Callithrix jacchus: one gene and its partners. The protein of the gene in region 3 binds, or shares a complex with, the protein of the main gene of each other region. Links are inferred from orthologs where the notes say so. Each region holds a gene or a part of one and is shown on either strand. Other genes may lie near its edges.

What was found. The genes of interacting proteins can lie anywhere in the genome.
Region 1: MED16 (region 3) and MED26 share a complex: the UniProt entries of both Homo sapiens proteins name them as parts of the mediator complex. The link is inferred for Callithrix jacchus from reciprocal best matches to the Homo sapiens genes MED16 and MED26.
Region 2: MED16 (region 3) and MED4 share a complex: the UniProt entries of both Homo sapiens proteins name them as parts of the mediator complex. The link is inferred for Callithrix jacchus from reciprocal best matches to the Homo sapiens genes MED16 and MED4.
Region 4: MED16 (region 3) and MED19 share a complex: the UniProt entries of both Homo sapiens proteins name them as parts of the mediator complex. The link is inferred for Callithrix jacchus from reciprocal best matches to the Homo sapiens genes MED16 and MED19.
Region 5: MED16 (region 3) and MED23 share a complex: the UniProt entries of both Homo sapiens proteins name them as parts of the mediator complex. The link is inferred for Callithrix jacchus from reciprocal best matches to the Homo sapiens genes MED16 and MED23.

The regions. Positions count from the first base shown.
Region 1 is NC_133523.1:15,193,626-15,195,947, forward strand, and holds part of MED26 (mediator of RNA polymerase II transcription subunit 26), read right to left. Parts: intron 1,627-2,322; coding exon 1,552-1,626; intron 933-1,551; coding exon 1-932. UniProt on the Homo sapiens protein: Component of the Mediator complex, a coactivator involved in the regulated transcription of nearly all RNA polymerase II-dependent genes.
Region 2 is NC_133502.1:67,851,117-67,854,616, reverse strand, and holds part of MED4 (mediator of RNA polymerase II transcription subunit 4), read right to left. Parts: intron 1,021-3,500; coding exon 850-1,020; intron 1-849. UniProt on the Homo sapiens protein: Component of the Mediator complex, a coactivator involved in the regulated transcription of nearly all RNA polymerase II-dependent genes.
Region 3 is NC_133523.1:834,341-838,496, forward strand, and holds the start of MED16 (mediator of RNA polymerase II transcription subunit 16), read right to left. Parts: upstream 2,801-4,156; 5' UTR 2,668-2,800; intron 1,435-2,667; 5' UTR 1,275-1,434; intron 1,025-1,274; 5' UTR 1,007-1,024; coding exon 838-1,006; coding exon of another isoform or gene 794-837; intron 1-793. UniProt on the Homo sapiens protein: Component of the Mediator complex, a coactivator involved in the regulated transcription of nearly all RNA polymerase II-dependent genes.
Region 4 is NC_133511.1:115,283,945-115,286,761, forward strand, and holds the end of MED19 (mediator of RNA polymerase II transcription subunit 19), read right to left. Parts: intron 1,999-2,817; coding exon 1,742-1,998; intron 1,586-1,741; coding exon 1,489-1,585; intron 1,184-1,488; coding exon 1,089-1,183; intron 898-1,088; coding exon 829-897; 3' UTR 501-828; downstream 1-500. UniProt on the Homo sapiens protein: Component of the Mediator complex, a coactivator involved in the regulated transcription of nearly all RNA polymerase II-dependent genes.
Region 5 is NC_133505.1:138,232,474-138,235,973, forward strand, and holds part of MED23 (mediator of RNA polymerase II transcription subunit 23), read right to left. Parts: intron 3,085-3,500; coding exon 2,848-3,084; intron 2,041-2,847; coding exon 1,875-2,040; intron 1,330-1,874; coding exon 1,257-1,329; intron 393-1,256; coding exon 178-392; intron 1-177. UniProt on the Homo sapiens protein: Required for transcriptional activation subsequent to the assembly of the pre-initiation complex. Component of the Mediator complex, a coactivator involved in the regulated transcription of nearly all RNA polymerase II-dependent genes.

The DNA.
Region 1 (2,322 bases), about 14 Mb from region 3:
AGCCCAGCCTTGCAGCCTGGCCCTGCCAGCCGTTGGTGGCTCTCAGGCTGCTCAAGCCAGCGTACTGGGCTTTCCGAGCTGGACAGCAGCTCAGGCCGCCGCACAGGGGGTGTGGACGGCTGTGCCAGTGGAAGCGGTGACGGCACCTGTGTGGCATCAAGTGTCTGGGGCCGTGGTGAGGGGCTGGGCATGGAGCCCTTAGGTACATACAAGTTCTGCTGCCGGGCAAAGGAGCCCTCATGCCGTGAGTTCCGAGGACTGAAAGAGCAGCGAGGGGGCCCCTTGGGGTGGGGAGGCCCTGGAGTCTCGTCCACCCTGTCCAACTGCTGCAGCACTGAAGCCTTTGCCTGCAAGCAGGGCCCAGGGGGTTTACTCAGGCCTGGGGAGCTGGTGTGTGGCCGCACGGCATTGATGGGGATCTTGCCACCGTGCTTGTCGTTCTCACCACGTTCCAGGCGGCTGCCCTCCGGGCCTGCATGCCCGCTGCCATCCAGGGAGCCGGGGAAACTCTCTGGGCTCCCACTGATCCCATTGGTGGGGAGGGGGGATGAGTTGGGGACCAGGGGGTCATGGGTAGCTTTGGAGACCTTGGGTGGCGGCCCCGGGTGGCCAAGGTCACGCTGGTCACCCCGGCGCTTGCGGCTGCCCAGTCTGTCCAGCCGCTGCCCAGGCAGCCTCTGGAGGTCATTGCGGCTTTTCAGGTCGTGGATGCTCCTGGGCGGGCCGGCCGCCCCGACCTCTGGCCGGCAGTTGTGTGCGCCCCCGTTAGCAGAGCCGGTGGCCCCTGCCAGCCCCCGCAGTGCCACCTCATGCTGGTGTGCTGGCTCGATGAGCTTCTGCCAGCTCCGAAGTAGTTTCTTGGCCCGCTTGGCGAGCTCCTCGTTCTTGGTTTTCTTGCGGACGTCGTTGATGAGCTTCCCAAGCCGTGTTTCCTACAACCAGAAAGAGATGATGACATACTTTCAAGACAGGGGCTTCCCCACAAGCTGAGCCAGAAATGGTGGGAAGTGGCCCTGACTCTGAAATGACCCCATTCGCACTGAGCCCTAAACTGCCAGCTCCCCGACACAACCTCTGGGGATTTCTGGCCCTTTGTGACAATATTTTCTGAACCCAGTCCCCAGACCTTAAGGGTCACAGGTGGCTTCTTGGCAGTGCTTCCGGTGCCAGGGGGCTGTGGCCCGTCAGGTCACTGCAAGGACACTGCCAGAGAGGCTTTCTGGGTGAGAGGGTGCCGTTGCCAAGGTGACAGCACAGAGGGCCTGCTTCAAGTGGAGGGCTGGGGATGGTGCCACTCACTGGAGCCTTCCCCAAGCACACCTCTCCCGATGTCCCCCACGTGCCCACAAAGTGGGCATGCAGGATGGGATTAACATCACTCCGTCCCTGCAGTGCCCATGGGAGACCATGATCGTGGGGCACATGCTGTGACGGCACACTGCCTCTCTTGGTCCTCTGAAGCAAAGAGACTGATGTTCCCAAGGACCTGGTTTGGAGCCGCCCCCTGCCCCCCGTTCTGCCCTCCCCCATGCTGGGGTGTGGGATACTCACCTCAAGTGCCTCTTTGGTAATGGGGTATTTCTCCAGGCTGGAGATGACTTCCAGCACCGCCACCATGTTCCGGATCTGTGGAAATAAAAAGCCATTTGTTAGGTGCCTGTCCTCTCCCCCTGGGAGGCTGAGACACCCAGCCCCAGGCTGCTTGGGTCTCTCCCCAACCCCAGAGCAAGAGGAGCTGGAAGCACTGAAGCCCACACTCCAGGTAGTCTCCTACCTGCTCCCTGGGCCAACCTGGCACCCAGTGCTCATCCCCACCTGCCGTTCGACCTCCTCTAGTGCATGGTGTGTGGTCTGCCCCAAGCCCTTACACAGTGCATACCCACCCACCTACCTGCTGAAACCCAGGACTCTTAAATCAGAGCTGCTCCTGATAGTTAAGACGACCTCTACTCTGCCATATGATGGGAGTGGGAGAGGGGACACTGAAGAATTCATTGAATAAAATGCACAAAGCTTAGAAGATCAATATATAGGCCAGGAGTGGAAGCTCATACCTGTAATCCCAGCAGTTTGGGAGGCTGAGGCAGGCAGATCATGAGGTCAGGAGCTCGACACCAGCCTGGCCAACATAGTAAAACCCCGTTTCTACTAAAAATACAAAAATTAGCCAAGTGTGGTGGCACGTGCCTGTAGTCTCAGCTACTTGGGAGGCTGAGACAGAAGAATCGCTTGAACTCGGGAGGTGGAGGTTGCAGTGAGCCAAGATCGTGCCATTACACTCCAGCCTGGTGACAGAGTGAGACTCCATCTCAAAAACAAAAG
Region 2 (3,500 bases), on a different chromosome or scaffold from region 3:
TCTGCCCACCTTGGCCTCCCAAAGTGCGAGGATTATAGGCATGAACCACTGCGCTTGGCTGATTTTAACGTATTTTTAAAAACTATTTACTAGTGAGTTGTTTTCTTAGTGGGGGTGATTAATTTATCCTGAACTGTGCAGGCTTCTAGTTACTAGAGCTCATTTTGACACAATTGTTAAGAGATTCATCCGAGGTAAGGATACCAGCAATGTCTGGTTGACATGAGAATCAAGCTCAGCTATTTCTGCAAAACCACCATATTATATTAGTTAGCATTTAGTTAAGTAACTGGACAAATAATAGCAAATAAATTGCCTCTTTGAAATAGTAGCCAAAACAACAAAGGAAAAACTAGGATCCTTGATACAGGTCCAAATCCTACCTAGATAAGGATGAAAGACTAAATTAATGTAAATTTTAACCATTTTATAAAATGTGTATATATTTTTACTGATTTCAAAATATATAAAAAATGAAAAATTTCCCTGATTTTTATCCTAAGGATCAGAGACCAGAAAAAAAAAGAGATTTAGACTACTGATAATTAAAACTTAAACCAGGATAAAAGTAAAACTTTCCATTTCTATAATTCAAAACTGTAAAATCCTTAAGTAATGGAAATGTGGCTCAAAAGTAATGCAGACTATCTGAAAACAGTAAGTAAAAAAGAGAGTGACAATAGCCTTTCATTTAACCACTGGCAATGGTTAGTGACAAGATGGACAACATGTCATTTTTAGACCTGGAAAGTCTAGTTTTCTGCTCTTCAAAATACTGATTACAGATTTTTCAGAAATAGATTAAATAATACCGTGTTTCACCTTAAGAATCAACCTTTGTCAACTTACCAGTATTTGTTCTGCTTCCTTTAGCTGTTTTTGTAGTTGCTGAATATCACTGTCTCTCTTCTCTACTTCTTTTTCCAAAACTTGCATTTCATGATGAATTTTTCCCTGATTAACTGCCAATTTCATTAGTTCTTGAAATTCCCCATCTCGGTGAATTAACAATTCTAGGACCTGTCAGATAACAGTCAATTAAATCAGACAACAGAATACTGAAAGGCTGCATTCCAATAAAACAAAGAATCCATACCTGAATTGGCTAGACTATAAAATTTCAACACTTTCAAAATATTATTCCTTATTCTTGTTAAGAATAAAAATAGCCTACCTATGATTATTTTGGGAAACATTAATATCAAACTTCTCTACTTTTTCAGCTGTTCATACAAAATAAAATAAAACTAGTCTTTCAAAACTAGCAATATGCCAGCATGATCAGGTTTACTGATTTCCTAGGGAAGATAAAATTTAAGAGTTTAATCTTATGGCCGGGCACAGTGACTCCTGCCTGTAATCCCAGTACTTTGGGAGGCTGAAGTAGGAGGATCACTTGAGGTCAGGAATTTGAGACTAGCCTGGCCAGTATGGTGAAACCCCATCTCTACTAAAAATACAAAAATTAGTTGGGTGTGGTGGCAGGGCACCTATAATCCCAGAATTGAAGGAACTTGGGAGGTAGAGGTTGCAGTAAGCCAAAATCACACCACTGAAGTCCAGCCTGGTAACAGAGTGAGACTCCATCTTAAAAAAAAAAAAAGGTTTATCTTTAAAAATACAATATAGACTAGGTGCGGTAGCTCACACCTATAATCCCAGCACTTTGGGAGGCCGAGGCAGGCGAATCACCTGAGGCCAATAGTTTGAGACCAGCCTGACCAACATGAGAAACCCCATCTCTACTAAAAATACAAAATTAGTCGGGCATGCTTGCACATGCCTGTAATCTCAGCTACTCAGAAGGCTGAGGAAGGAGAATTGCTTGAACCCAGGAGGCGGAGGTTGTGGTGAGCCGAGATCTCGCCATTGCACCCCAGCCTAGGAAACAAGAGTGAAACTCCACCTCTACAACAAAACAAAACAAAAAAACAGTATAATGAAGATTCTTCCAAAATTTGGCACTTGAGATGATTTTACGTGGCACCAAGAACGTAAAAAACATTTAGTTACGCATTTGTGCTAATACATGTTAGAATAAATGTAACTGAGACATTGAAACTGTGATTTTATGCGCAGTACTGCCTATGATGAAGATGATCTTAAAAATACAGTTATTTCAAAAAACAGCAAATAAATAGGTGGTATGCAGATATGGCAAAAACTCATGAAGGCTAAAACATATCAAATAGAACATCTGGCAGTTCATCTCTCTAGTCCTCCATTTGCTAACTGCGTGACATAGGGAAAGTTACCAGCCTCTTTGAGCCTGTGTTCTCATTAGGAAAAGGTATATAATAATATTACATAAAGCTATTGTGAGGATTCATTATATAATGCATTTTAAGTACATACGTGAAGAGTTCAACAAAAGCTCGTTATTACGATCACCATCCCAGTACAGAATTAAGATGCAAGTCTGGCCTAAATACCCTTACTTTACTGTGCTAAGTAGAGAATAATACTTCAGAAATAAAATAGCTATCAAAATTCAAAATCAATTTTAAAACTCTTTAAAAACATTTGTTAAAGACTAAAAAATACAGGTATGCCTCTTCAAGTTCCTTTTTACATGAAGTTCCTCTCATTTTTATAGGAATTCTCCTAATACAACAGACAAAGACTGAGCTGCAAACTGCCAGATATTAAGAGTATTTTAGATAACAACGAAAGCTTCTTCTGTAAAAAGTATATTGTATTTGTTTATTAGACCTCTAATCCTCAATTCCTCCCACATCATAGGAGGAGAAAGCTAGGTTTCCATTTCTATAAAAGCTACATTATTAAAGCAAGTAGTACACATTAGTTCCATGACAACTTTTAAAAAGTTTATATAGTTTGAACTAATTTGTTTACTACCCAAGAGTAAAAAAGATTCTCTTCAGATCTTATTATTCAGTAGGGAAAAATTACTCAACTAGAGTCAGGAGACTTAGGTTCTTTCTGGTTCCACTCACCATTAACCTCTAGTTCATCTGTCCACCCTGGAGCTCAGTCTCACAGAAGGATGAACTGAACATCGTTAAGATCCTAATTCTAAAATTCTACATAAATTTATAAATATCCAAATAAAATGGTGGTTAGAAAATTTTCAGATGGGCACATCCCTCTCTAATATTAACAGTTTCAATCAAAATTACATAGGAATCCACAGTACTAAGTACAAGATACAATTCACAAAATTGCTACTCTTTAAAAAGTACAAGAAAGATCAGTGCTGATTACAGGTCTTAATTATCACCTTCTGAATAATCTGTGTGCCTGGCTCACAGCAAGCATTTAATAAGTGTCTATGAAATATAGTCAAGCTTTATATTTTCCTTCTTGCATATTTTGTAATAAATTCCTATTCAATCCCACAGGTATTAATGGAGTACCCGAGAGACTAGTAGTCTTTTATTAACAAATTTATCTCTAGCCTCTTTCTTTTAAAAAAAACAAAACAAAACAAAAACCTTACTACCCCTAAGGTTAGCTGTTTTTCCTAGTTTGTGGCCTCA
Region 3 (4,156 bases):
CCCACCGCCGCCCCGGAACAGAAAAGGCCCGTGATGCGCCACGACCACGTTTTTAAAACCAGACTAGAAGAAAATGACCCAAAATTTGAAAGCAGGCTCCTCCACAGAAGGTGAAAGGTGGCTTTTCTCACCCTGGTTTGATTCTAATTTCCTGTGGTTTTCTAATCTTCTCTATTGAGCACATATTACAGGTGCATATACTGGAGCAATAGAGAGAAAATGAGTGCAGCCACCACGTACCTTTCTTTTTTTTTTGAGACGGAGTTTCGCTCTTATTACCCAGGCAGGAGTGCAATGGTGCGATCTCGGCTCACCGCAACCTCCGCCTCCTGGGTTCAGGCAATTCTCCTGCCTCAGCCTCCCGAGCAGCTGGGATTACAGGCACATGCCACCGTGCCCAGCTAATTTTTGTATCTTTAGTAGAGACGGGGTTTCACCATGTTGACCAGGATGGTCTCGATCTCTTGACCTTGTGATCCACCCGCCTCGGCCTCCCAAAGTGCTGGGATTACAGGCATGAGCCACCACGCCCGGCCACCAGGTGCCTTTCAAAAACCAAACAGTGACCCACACCATCTGGAAACCTGGGGCAGGTGTCCCTAACATGCCTGCGTCAACCACCACCCCAGCCCCGTTCGATCCCACAGAGTGGGGACCTCACGTCTCCCGGCACCAGGTGTGGGGAGCACTGAATCCACCCTCTGCACCTCCAGGAGGCTGAGGCTCTCACCCACGTTAGAGAGTGAGGGGTGTCCTGCAAGACTGGATCCCCGCAAGGCAGGGTGCCGGGTACCTGGGGAAAAGGGTGGGACGCCACGTGGGCGGGAGGGGGCGCACCCTGGTCGTCGCTGCGCAGGTCCATGGTGAAGGCGATGAGGTTTCGGCAGGACCAGGCGCAGGCCAGGGGCACCGACGGGCAGTGCGTGCTCTTGGACCATTTCTCCCACTCACAGACGTAGGCCAAGTCCATCATCCCACCTGCTGCCGGCCGCCGCAAGTCACACATGAGGGCAGTCACCAGCTCCTGCGGGAGGGAGGTCTGGCTGGTCGTCTGTGTGGACTGAGCTTCCAGGGCACGTGGAGTGCCAGGCCGGATACGGGAAAACCACAGGCAGGCAGTCGAAGGAACGGCAGGTGCAAAGGCCCGGAGGCCAGAAAGAGCCTGGGGCGTTCCCGGCAGCCCACGGGGCTGGGGCTGAAGGGGGTGTGGAGAGGTCAGGGCCTGTGGGCTTTTACCCTGAGCGGGGTGGGAGCCCAGGAGGGCTGGGACTTACTTGGATTTCACCAGGGCCCCTCTGGCTATCTGGGTAACAGATCGGGGCGGGGGGGGGGGGCCAAGGGCACAGCCGAAGAAGCGGCGGAGGGTCTGCACTGGCCCAGGTGAGTGATGATGGCGGCAGCAGGAGGACGCTGGGTCTCTTTTGAAGGAAGGGCCTACAAACAGGCATATGGTGGGGCTGCCTGTGGCCAAGGCGGGCAGGCGTTCTGGGGCGAAGGGGCTTGGTGAGTGTGACAGGCAACAGAGGGAGCATTTCCTAGGGGCTTGCTTTTTTTTGAGACGGAGTCTCGCTCTTGTTACCCAGGCTGGAGTGCAATGGCGCGATCTCGGCTCACCGCAACCTCCGCCTCCTGGGTTCAAGCAATTCTCCTGCCTCAGCCTCCCGAGTAGCTGGGATCACAGGCACGCGCCACCATGCCCAGCTAATTTTTGTATCTTTAGTAGAGACGGGGTTTCACCACGTTGACCGGGATGGTCTCGATCTCTTGACCTCGTGATCCACCCGCCTCGGCCTCCCAGAGTGCTGGGATTACAGGCGCCCGGCCCTGTTTCCTTCGGGCTTTCTAAGCGCCCAGCATCTGGACAGACTGTTTCTGCTTCACAAAGGCAAAAACCCAGTGAGGCTGGAAGGACCACCAGGCGGTTTTCCTCAAACCCTATCCGGGGCTGCCTACTTCAGGGTCTGCCCCAGACCCCCAGGGCTCCGCCAGACACCCCTTAAAGTCAGCCCCTGACACCTCTTGCTTCCCCCACTTCAAACCACCCCTGGGGCCCATGGCCTCAGCCTAAATTCTCAGGCTTCACCCTAGGGGTCCCATGTTGGCTGACCTCCCCAGGTCCAGCCTCCGACAGCCTTGGCTCTCCAGGCCCCACCCCTAAAACTCCCCAGTCCCCAGGTTCCCCTCCAGGAACCCCATGTAGTCTCCAGGCCCTTTCCCTATTGCCCCCAAACAGCAGGCTTCATCCCAGGGACCCCATGGCGTCTACAGGCTCCGCCCCTATGACCTCCAATCTCCACGGTCCACCCCAGGGAACCCAACTCTCCAGGTTTCATCCATATAGCTATCCAGTTCCCAGGCTCCATGCCGGGGCCCCCAAACCCACAAGCCCCGCCCCCTAAGTCCCACCAAGCGCCTTCAGCCCCGCCCAAAACTCCCTTCAGACCCCGCCCCTAGCCCCGCCCCGCCCCGCGGGCCTCCGGCTGCTTCGGAGTTTCCGCCGCAAGCTGCAGACCCTGGGGCCGAAAGCCGCCTACCCAGCAGCCTTTGCTTCCGGACACGCCCCCTAACCCTGCAGGCCCCGCCTCCGCCGCGCCGCGTTCCCTGGGGCAGCAGACGCCACCGGGAATCCGTCCCGCCCCCGGCCGGCCCCCGCAGCCCCGCGCTCACCTGGCCGGCCGGTGCGCCAAGACCAGCGGGCGTCCGCGGCGCGAAATTTCCCTAATGCCTCGGCTCCGGCGCCGCCATCTTCCCTGGGACCAACGAGTTGCCTGGCCCGCGCCGCCGCCTCCCAAAGACTTCTGGGACGGCGGCGCGGCCTAGGCTCCGCCCCGCTTCCGGGTATATTTGCATGCGAGCATTTCCAGTGATTCCCAAAAGCCACCGTAACTATATTTGGTGGAATAAGCACTTTCCCAGCTCCAGTTAATAACTGCGTTGGTTGGATTACACGTCAGACCACGGAAATACAGGTTGGGCGTCTATAGCATTTAACAAAAGTCACCCTATGTGTAGAGGAGTTGACTATAGAGGCTATAAATAGGTCCCGGTGCGGCAGCTCAATCGTGCTCGCTTCGGCAGCACATATACTAAAATTGGAACGATACAGAGAAGATTAGCATGGCCCCTGCGCAAGGATGACACGCAAATTCGTGAAGCGTTCCATATTTTTGCTTCCCTTCCGCGAGCCCGCAATGACGTCACAGGGCCCCTCCCTTCCGCGAGCCCGCAATGACGTCACAGGGCCCCTCCCTTCCGCCATCCTGCAATGACGTCACTGGTGCGGTGACGCCATCGCCTTCCCCTTTTCGTTTCCTGTTGCACCACTAAGGTCGGCGACTGGAGAACAATCTGGCCGTCCCCACTTAGTTGTGGCGCCCCGCCACCTGCCCCTGTGGCCCTCGAGCTACCGTAAATAAGTAAGTAAACGCTCCGCAGGAGCACATATTGAGCGCCTGCTGCATACACAGGAGAACACTATGGTTTTGATTTTATGTTTTTTTAATTTAATTTAAATTTTTTTTTTTTTTGAGACGGGAGTTTCGCTCTTGTTACCCAGGCTGGAGTGCAATGGCGCGATCTCGGCTCACCGCAACCTCCGCCTCCCGGGTTCAGGCAATTCTCCTGCCTCAGCCTCCCGAGTAGCTGGGATTACAGGCACGCGCCACCATGCCCAGCTAATTTTTTGTATTTTTAGTAGAGACGGGGTTTCACCATGTTGACCAGGATGGTCTCGATCTCTTGACCTCGTGATCCACCCGCCTCGGCCTCCCAGAGTGCTGGGATTACAGGCGTCAGCCACCGCGCCCGGCCATTTCTTCCGTTTTCTAGTCTCCAAGATTGGAGAAACTGAGGCTCCTTTATCTGAAGTCACCAGTCCCGCTGAGGAATGTTCCTACCTCCAACCCCATTTCCACCTCCACCTCCACGAGCCAGTTTAATGCAATGCATGTTGTGCTTTTCTTTTTATTTATTTATTTTTTTATTTTTAACCTCATCTCTACTAAAAATGCAAAAATTAGCTGGGCGTTATTTATTTTTCACACAGGGTCTCACTCTGTCGCCCAGGCTGGAGTGCAATGGCACACTCTCGGCTCACCGCAACCTCCATTGTCCGGGTTCAAGCAATTTTCCTGCCTCAGCCTGCCAAGTGGCTGGA
Region 4 (2,817 bases), on a different chromosome or scaffold from region 3:
TAACTTTAGTGTCTTTTTTTTCTCTCTCTCTTTGATCCTTAACTTCAGTGTCTTAACTAAGGAATGAAGCAGGTCAAAAGTTCTTGTAAAGAGAAGAGAAGCATTTACCTTTGCTTGCCAGAAGTTCATTTCAAAATATCACAGGCTTCTGATCTAGGAACCAATCTTGTTGAAATACACTGGTGACTGTCCATGTGTTTTTGGTTGGCTTTTCTGTTTCAACACAAAATTGACCTAGAACACACTGTTGAGCCCTACCTGGATCAGCTCTTCAGATAGAGCCTGTGATCACCTAGGTGCTTAGTTCTCAACATAACGGGCGGAGTGTTATGTGTCTGCTGTGGAGTATTAGTAAGCTTGGCTCACTTTTCATTTTGATTGTTTCCCTGCCTGTTAGTGAGATAATGTAATGACATGACCCAGATCCCCTCAAGACTTAGCAAAGCCTTTTCTTAAATCCTGACTCAGACAGCCACATACCTCTTAGGCAGTCACACTTCAGCCAGTTTGATAAATGTAATTTTTTTTTTTTAAGAAAAAACGCACAAGTCCTAAATCAGACAAATTGCACAAAAGAGAGAGAAGAAAATCGTAAGCTTCCTGGAAGAGGAAGAGATATCCATGAGAAAGCCAACAGGGATGAGCCTACAAAAGCATGTCCCTCTCTCTCTCATAATTACTTAATCTCAACTGAGCCCAACAGAGCTGGCCTCTGTCCCAGCTGCAGGATGCTCCCAAGGCAGTGTCCAAAGAGGCTGGAAGGCAGCTTTTGTCAGCGGGTTCAATATAGCAGGAAAGGCCATCCTGGCAAAGAGTCCAGTGGTCCTGTTAGCGTAGGCTGCTGCTGCTGCTGGCCTGGGAACTACCCATACCGGGGTGGTCTGGACTATGTCGGTTCTGGGGGAGAAAGGAGGAGAGGTAAGAACAACTAGGAACTAGCCTTGGCTTTGATCAGGCTGTACAGGAGAAACCTGCAACCTGCCCTGGGTTTTCAATCTTGGATCCATCTGGAGGCAAAGAACTCTATTTAGGACAGAGGTGAGATATGGGGAAACTCACTGAGTTGTGGCAATAGGCCTCTACTCTACCTTCTTTTTCTTCTTCTCTTTCTTCTTCCTTTTCCTTTCAGGATCCTCTTCTTTTTTCTTTTTCTTCTTCTTGTGATCCGAATCAGATGGTGTTTCTGTAGGAGACATTAGGTACCTATCACCTGTAGAGCTCAAAATCCTCTCCTGTTGGGAAGACTGCAGACAGGAAAATCCCAAGTCAGGGGCAAGTGCTTTTGTCCAAATGGTCAGAAAGGATACAGAAGTGCTGCTAGAGTCCCTGTGATAAGTCCCAAGAGACCCCAGTACACTGGTTTCTTCTTCAGGGGAATTTAGGAGTCCAGAGCTCCGTATGAACTTAACTGGGTTTACCTATGGAAGGTCAAACCAGATTCAGAAGGTCAGGGTTTTTTTTTTAGCTTTGAGTAGAACTGCTTCTTACCTGGGGGTACAGGATCCTGGGTACGGCTCTGTTTGTGCTTGTGCTTATTCTTCTTCTTGGGAGGCTGAATATGCATCAGACGACACTGCTCTGGCAACTGAAGGAACCAAAGGAAGGTCCAGGTGAGAAGAGGAAGGAAATCCCCTGTTCCCATCATCTGTTCTGCTCCATCATGAAGGAACAGACTGGGACAGAAAAACCATCTCCATGTTTAGGCCTCCCCATTCGCCTTCCTCCTTCCAAGGGGACTTACCGGGCCAGTGTGGAGGCGGAAGCCGGCCAGCATGGTCCCTGTGATAGGATTAAAAGAGCTGCTGAGAATAGGGGGCTTCTCAATGAGGGAGCGGAGGCTGCTGTTATCATGGGAACCAGGCAGATCAATCATCCCTGGCAGGTCAGGCAGGAAGTTACTAAGCTTCTCCTTCACCTTCTTCCCACAGAATTTATTATAGGCTTGTTCCAAGTTGTAATGTGTGATCAGATTCGTGCTGCCTGTGAGCTCTGTGCTACCTAGACAACACAGAATAAAAATAAAAAAAATCAGTCCCCAAAGTAGGCCCAGAGAGCGAAGGACTATATATTAACCTAAAGAATATTTTAGGTGAACATTTTAAAATTTAGAGAAACAGCAGAAGTAAATAAATCATAAATATGAAAAAATACAACACAGTGGTAGGGTCCAATGGAAAGGGGGAAAAATAGGCAAAAATCCAATAGGGCAGAGACAGAAACTGCTCACCCAATGAAGGAGACATTCCACTCTCCTTAGATTAGAGTTGACTTACATGATGCTTACTTCACGGTAAATGCTGTTCTGAGTGCTTCTCACAAAATGTACTAGTGACAAATTATATAGCATAGCCAGGAAAACACTACCTCACAGCTCAGCTACAACCATGCTAACGGGGCCAAATATGACCCAGTGACTTAAGGGTCTTGTCAAGAACCAGGAGATTTTTCTAGCTACCACTGCCTAATTTTTGTTACCAACATCTTTATTCTTCCTCATGATACTGAGTATGATACCTTGCCTAAAAGGAAGGAATTTTTTTTGTTATTGTGATAGAGTTTGCTCTGTCACCAGGCTGGAGTACAGAGGTGCGATCTTGGCTCACTGCAACCTCCGCCTCCCAGGTTTAAGCATTTCTCCCACCTCAGCCTTCCAAGTAGCTGGGATCACATGCATGCGCCAACATGCCTGGCTAATTTTTTTTTTAGTAGAAACAGGGTTTCACCATGTTGGCCAGGCTGGTCTCGAACTCCTGACCTCAAGTGGTCTGCCCGCCTCAGCTTCCCCAAGTGCTGGTATTATAGGCATGAACCACTGTG
Region 5 (3,500 bases), on a different chromosome or scaffold from region 3:
TAGATTATTACTAGCATATACAAGTCAATTTTTCAGAAAACAATTCTGAAGCAAAAGGAGCTTTCTGATGAACTTACTTTGCAAATTGTTCTAATGAATGAGGTATATACCTCATCTGTTAATGAGATTGAAAAAAATGAAATATGTCAAATTTCTTTAAGAAATTATTACACTTACTTTGGAATGAGAGAAAGTTGTCCAATGCTAGAATGGTGCCACACAGCATGTGCGAGAGCTAATGTATAGCTACAGCTCATCTCAGAGTAGGACTGATGACAGGCAGTGAAATCAAAGAGGCGGAATGGATAGCCAACCCACTCTGTTTCAGATGTCAAGCTGGGGCTGCTGATAACACTCACAATTCGATCATGAAGAACAATCCAGTATGGCTCCTTTAAAATTGGAGGAAAGCTAGTGAAAAAATCACTTATCTAGCATTCTATCACAAAGACTAAAATAATAGTGTTTTCTCAGTCTTTAAAGTTTTCTACTTTTCCAGCTTCTGCTGGAAATCTGTTGGATGACTTTGTAACTGGGCAAATTAAGTCAGTAACAACCTGGGAGAAGTGCCTGTGAGTTAGGGGGCTCCATACATTTATCTGTCCAGCTCATTTAGGTACCTGATATATACTATGCAGTAAATCAATTAACTTACCAAACAATAAATCAATAGTTTTATTGCTTATTTTATAATAATAAACTTTTTTTTAGATATGTGTGGAGGTCAGAGAAGGGAGTCTTCATGTGGGCTGGAAAAGTCAGGTAAGGCTTCATTCACTAAGAAAGGAGGCTCTAAGCTAGCAAAGAATAAATAGGCTTTAGAGAAGGTGATGGAAAGAAGAAGGTTCTGGAATAAAAATAATGTCTTATTCACTCACATTCGGAAGTACCTAAAACATGTCTTAATAAGTACCATCTGCAAGAACAAAGGCTGTAGATACACAACATATTAAGTGGCCAAGAGTAGATCAGGTTATAATGTAAAAACTAAAGTTGGATAGGTAAGGTGGTACCAGAAAATGCAGAGACATGTAAGTTATGCAGAGGTATTTAGATCTAATACAGAAAGGCAAAAACTAGTCACTGTAAATTTTTAAAGCAGTAATAATATGAAAAACTTTAAAAACATAAAATACTTCATTAATTTGTTTGACGTCCTTGTACCAGGGCATCCTATATGCATCTTTTTCTTTTTGCTGACATGGAACAAGGGGCTGTATTTCATCAGTAAGTACAAATCACAATTATTAACTCACTGGTAAGGCAGTGATGATCAAACCAATTGCATTCATCCATGCTGTAATGTTCTCTCTTGGCACTAAAGGCTGACTGCAACCAGCAAAAAAGAACACAAGTATGAAATTATAAAAACATTTTAGATGGTTGACAATGGATCTTAGTTTTAAAGAATATGTATAATTCAGAGGATTGAAAACTAATCAATTTCAATAAAACAATGGGGAATTTTTTATTGAATAAAAATGTAATATACATAGAAACTCAATAAGGCTCTTTAAAAATACTTCTTCCCCAATCATTATCCAATATTTTGTGCTAGTTTTTAAGAGATTCTTGAAATCTTGAAAACAAGATTAAGAGAATCTTGTTTTAAGTGACAAGTTAACATTAATCCTAAACTAAATGTCAAACTGCTATTAATGAGTAGAAGTAGGAACAAACCCAGATCTTAATGATCCTATCCAGGGCTCATTCCATAACTCCTATATCACAAAGACAAGATCTGGAACCAGAAAACAGTCATCATCCAATGTTCAACAGCCTTGTGGCAACAGGTCTGTCTTAAAGGTCCAAATAAAACACCATTCTGTTTACAAATAAACAACAAATCTTACTGCATGAACCAGAATACATACCTTTTCAGGACAACATTTAGAAGGGCATTCCCGACCTCTTTGCCTGAAACTGCCAAGGCCATGAGCTCCACACATGTAACATGGAGAGCGTGGGCAGCTGGGTTGGGAAACTCATTGAATCTCCAGTCACAGTTTGGAAAGGGACCAGGAGATTTGCCAGCCATTGGTGCACACAGTTAAAGCAATAACACTGACATGATTGAAATGTATTAAGAGCAATCATTTAATTAACCACAAGTATAAATGGTTGGTCTTACAGGTGGGTTCTTATAAATGTGATGTATAATAGCCACAGATGCAATCAAGGTATACCTAGACTTCATGAGCCTATTTCTTCTAAAAGTTATAAGACATTAATATGAACATTATTTTATAATGAGCTCTTCTTTTGCTTCAGAAAATAAATTCCTTTATGTAGGAAAACAAGTCACACTCATTTACGTAGAATTTCTCTACATAGTAAAATGGTGGTATGAAGTATAGATGCTAATAAATGAAAACATAAAATCAAAATGAAGAAACATACAAGTATATTTTCACTAAAATATCCCTTTTCACTAAAAAAAGAAAAATGTTTTATCGTTTATTATTTAATAAAAACATACTTTTTTAAAGTAACAAGATGCTACATTCTCCAGTAGCACACAGATGCATGTGCTACAAAATAGAGTTCATTTAAGAATAAATTTTTTTCTTTGAAACAAATCTCCATAAAGTCTATTTTTAAATATAATTTTTAACCACTTATCCTCAAGTTCTAAAATATAAATTTTAAAAGAATTTCAGCCTATCTGGCATGATGCTGCTAATTTAAGATTTCAAACCTTTAGAGAGATAAAAAGGGAAGTGATCTTAAAAAAAAAAGTAAAACCTTGGAATATATAAAAAATTACCTTAAAAAGAAAAATACGTTCTCATAAATCAAAATACTGTTATTTCTGGAGAGTCTGTAAAATCAGAGTAGAAAGGATATTATCGACTAGTCTGCCAATCAATCTGCAATAGTAGGTGTCATCTGGAACCCATGGATTTTCCTCTCGTGCATTCATAGCACACTTCAGGTAAGTGTCACTTAGACACCAGCCCTGTGGTCTATTATCCTTGAGAGAGCCGATGATAGCATGGACGAGTTTTCGTTTGAGAAATGCGCGGTCTCTCAGGTGCATTTCATAATAGTGCAGAGTATTATACAGGTAAGTCACTGGACGATCTGCCAAGAAAAAAAATATCACCACACGTTTAACTGGTTACTGATAACTGTGAAAAACTAATCCACTGCTTTCAAGATAACTGAAAAACAGCTCAGAAGATTATGAAACAATTTCACAGCTGGACAATTGTATACTATGGATATTTTAACCTGAGTAGAGGCAGAAGGCTCAGAATGCTTCTAGTAATATGCAGTTTGTATTTGCATTTGTTTTTATTTAAGTGGAAGCAACTCCATTTCTGAAAATGTATTCTGCATAAATTTTCATCCCTTGACATACAACAAGGGATGTTCTTTACGCTACCATAAATGAAAAACAGCCTAAAAAGTCAAAAACAGGGAACTAATAAAATAAATTATGGCATGTATTGATACAAATGGCCAACCCTAATATATGATAAAGTTGAAACAAACAG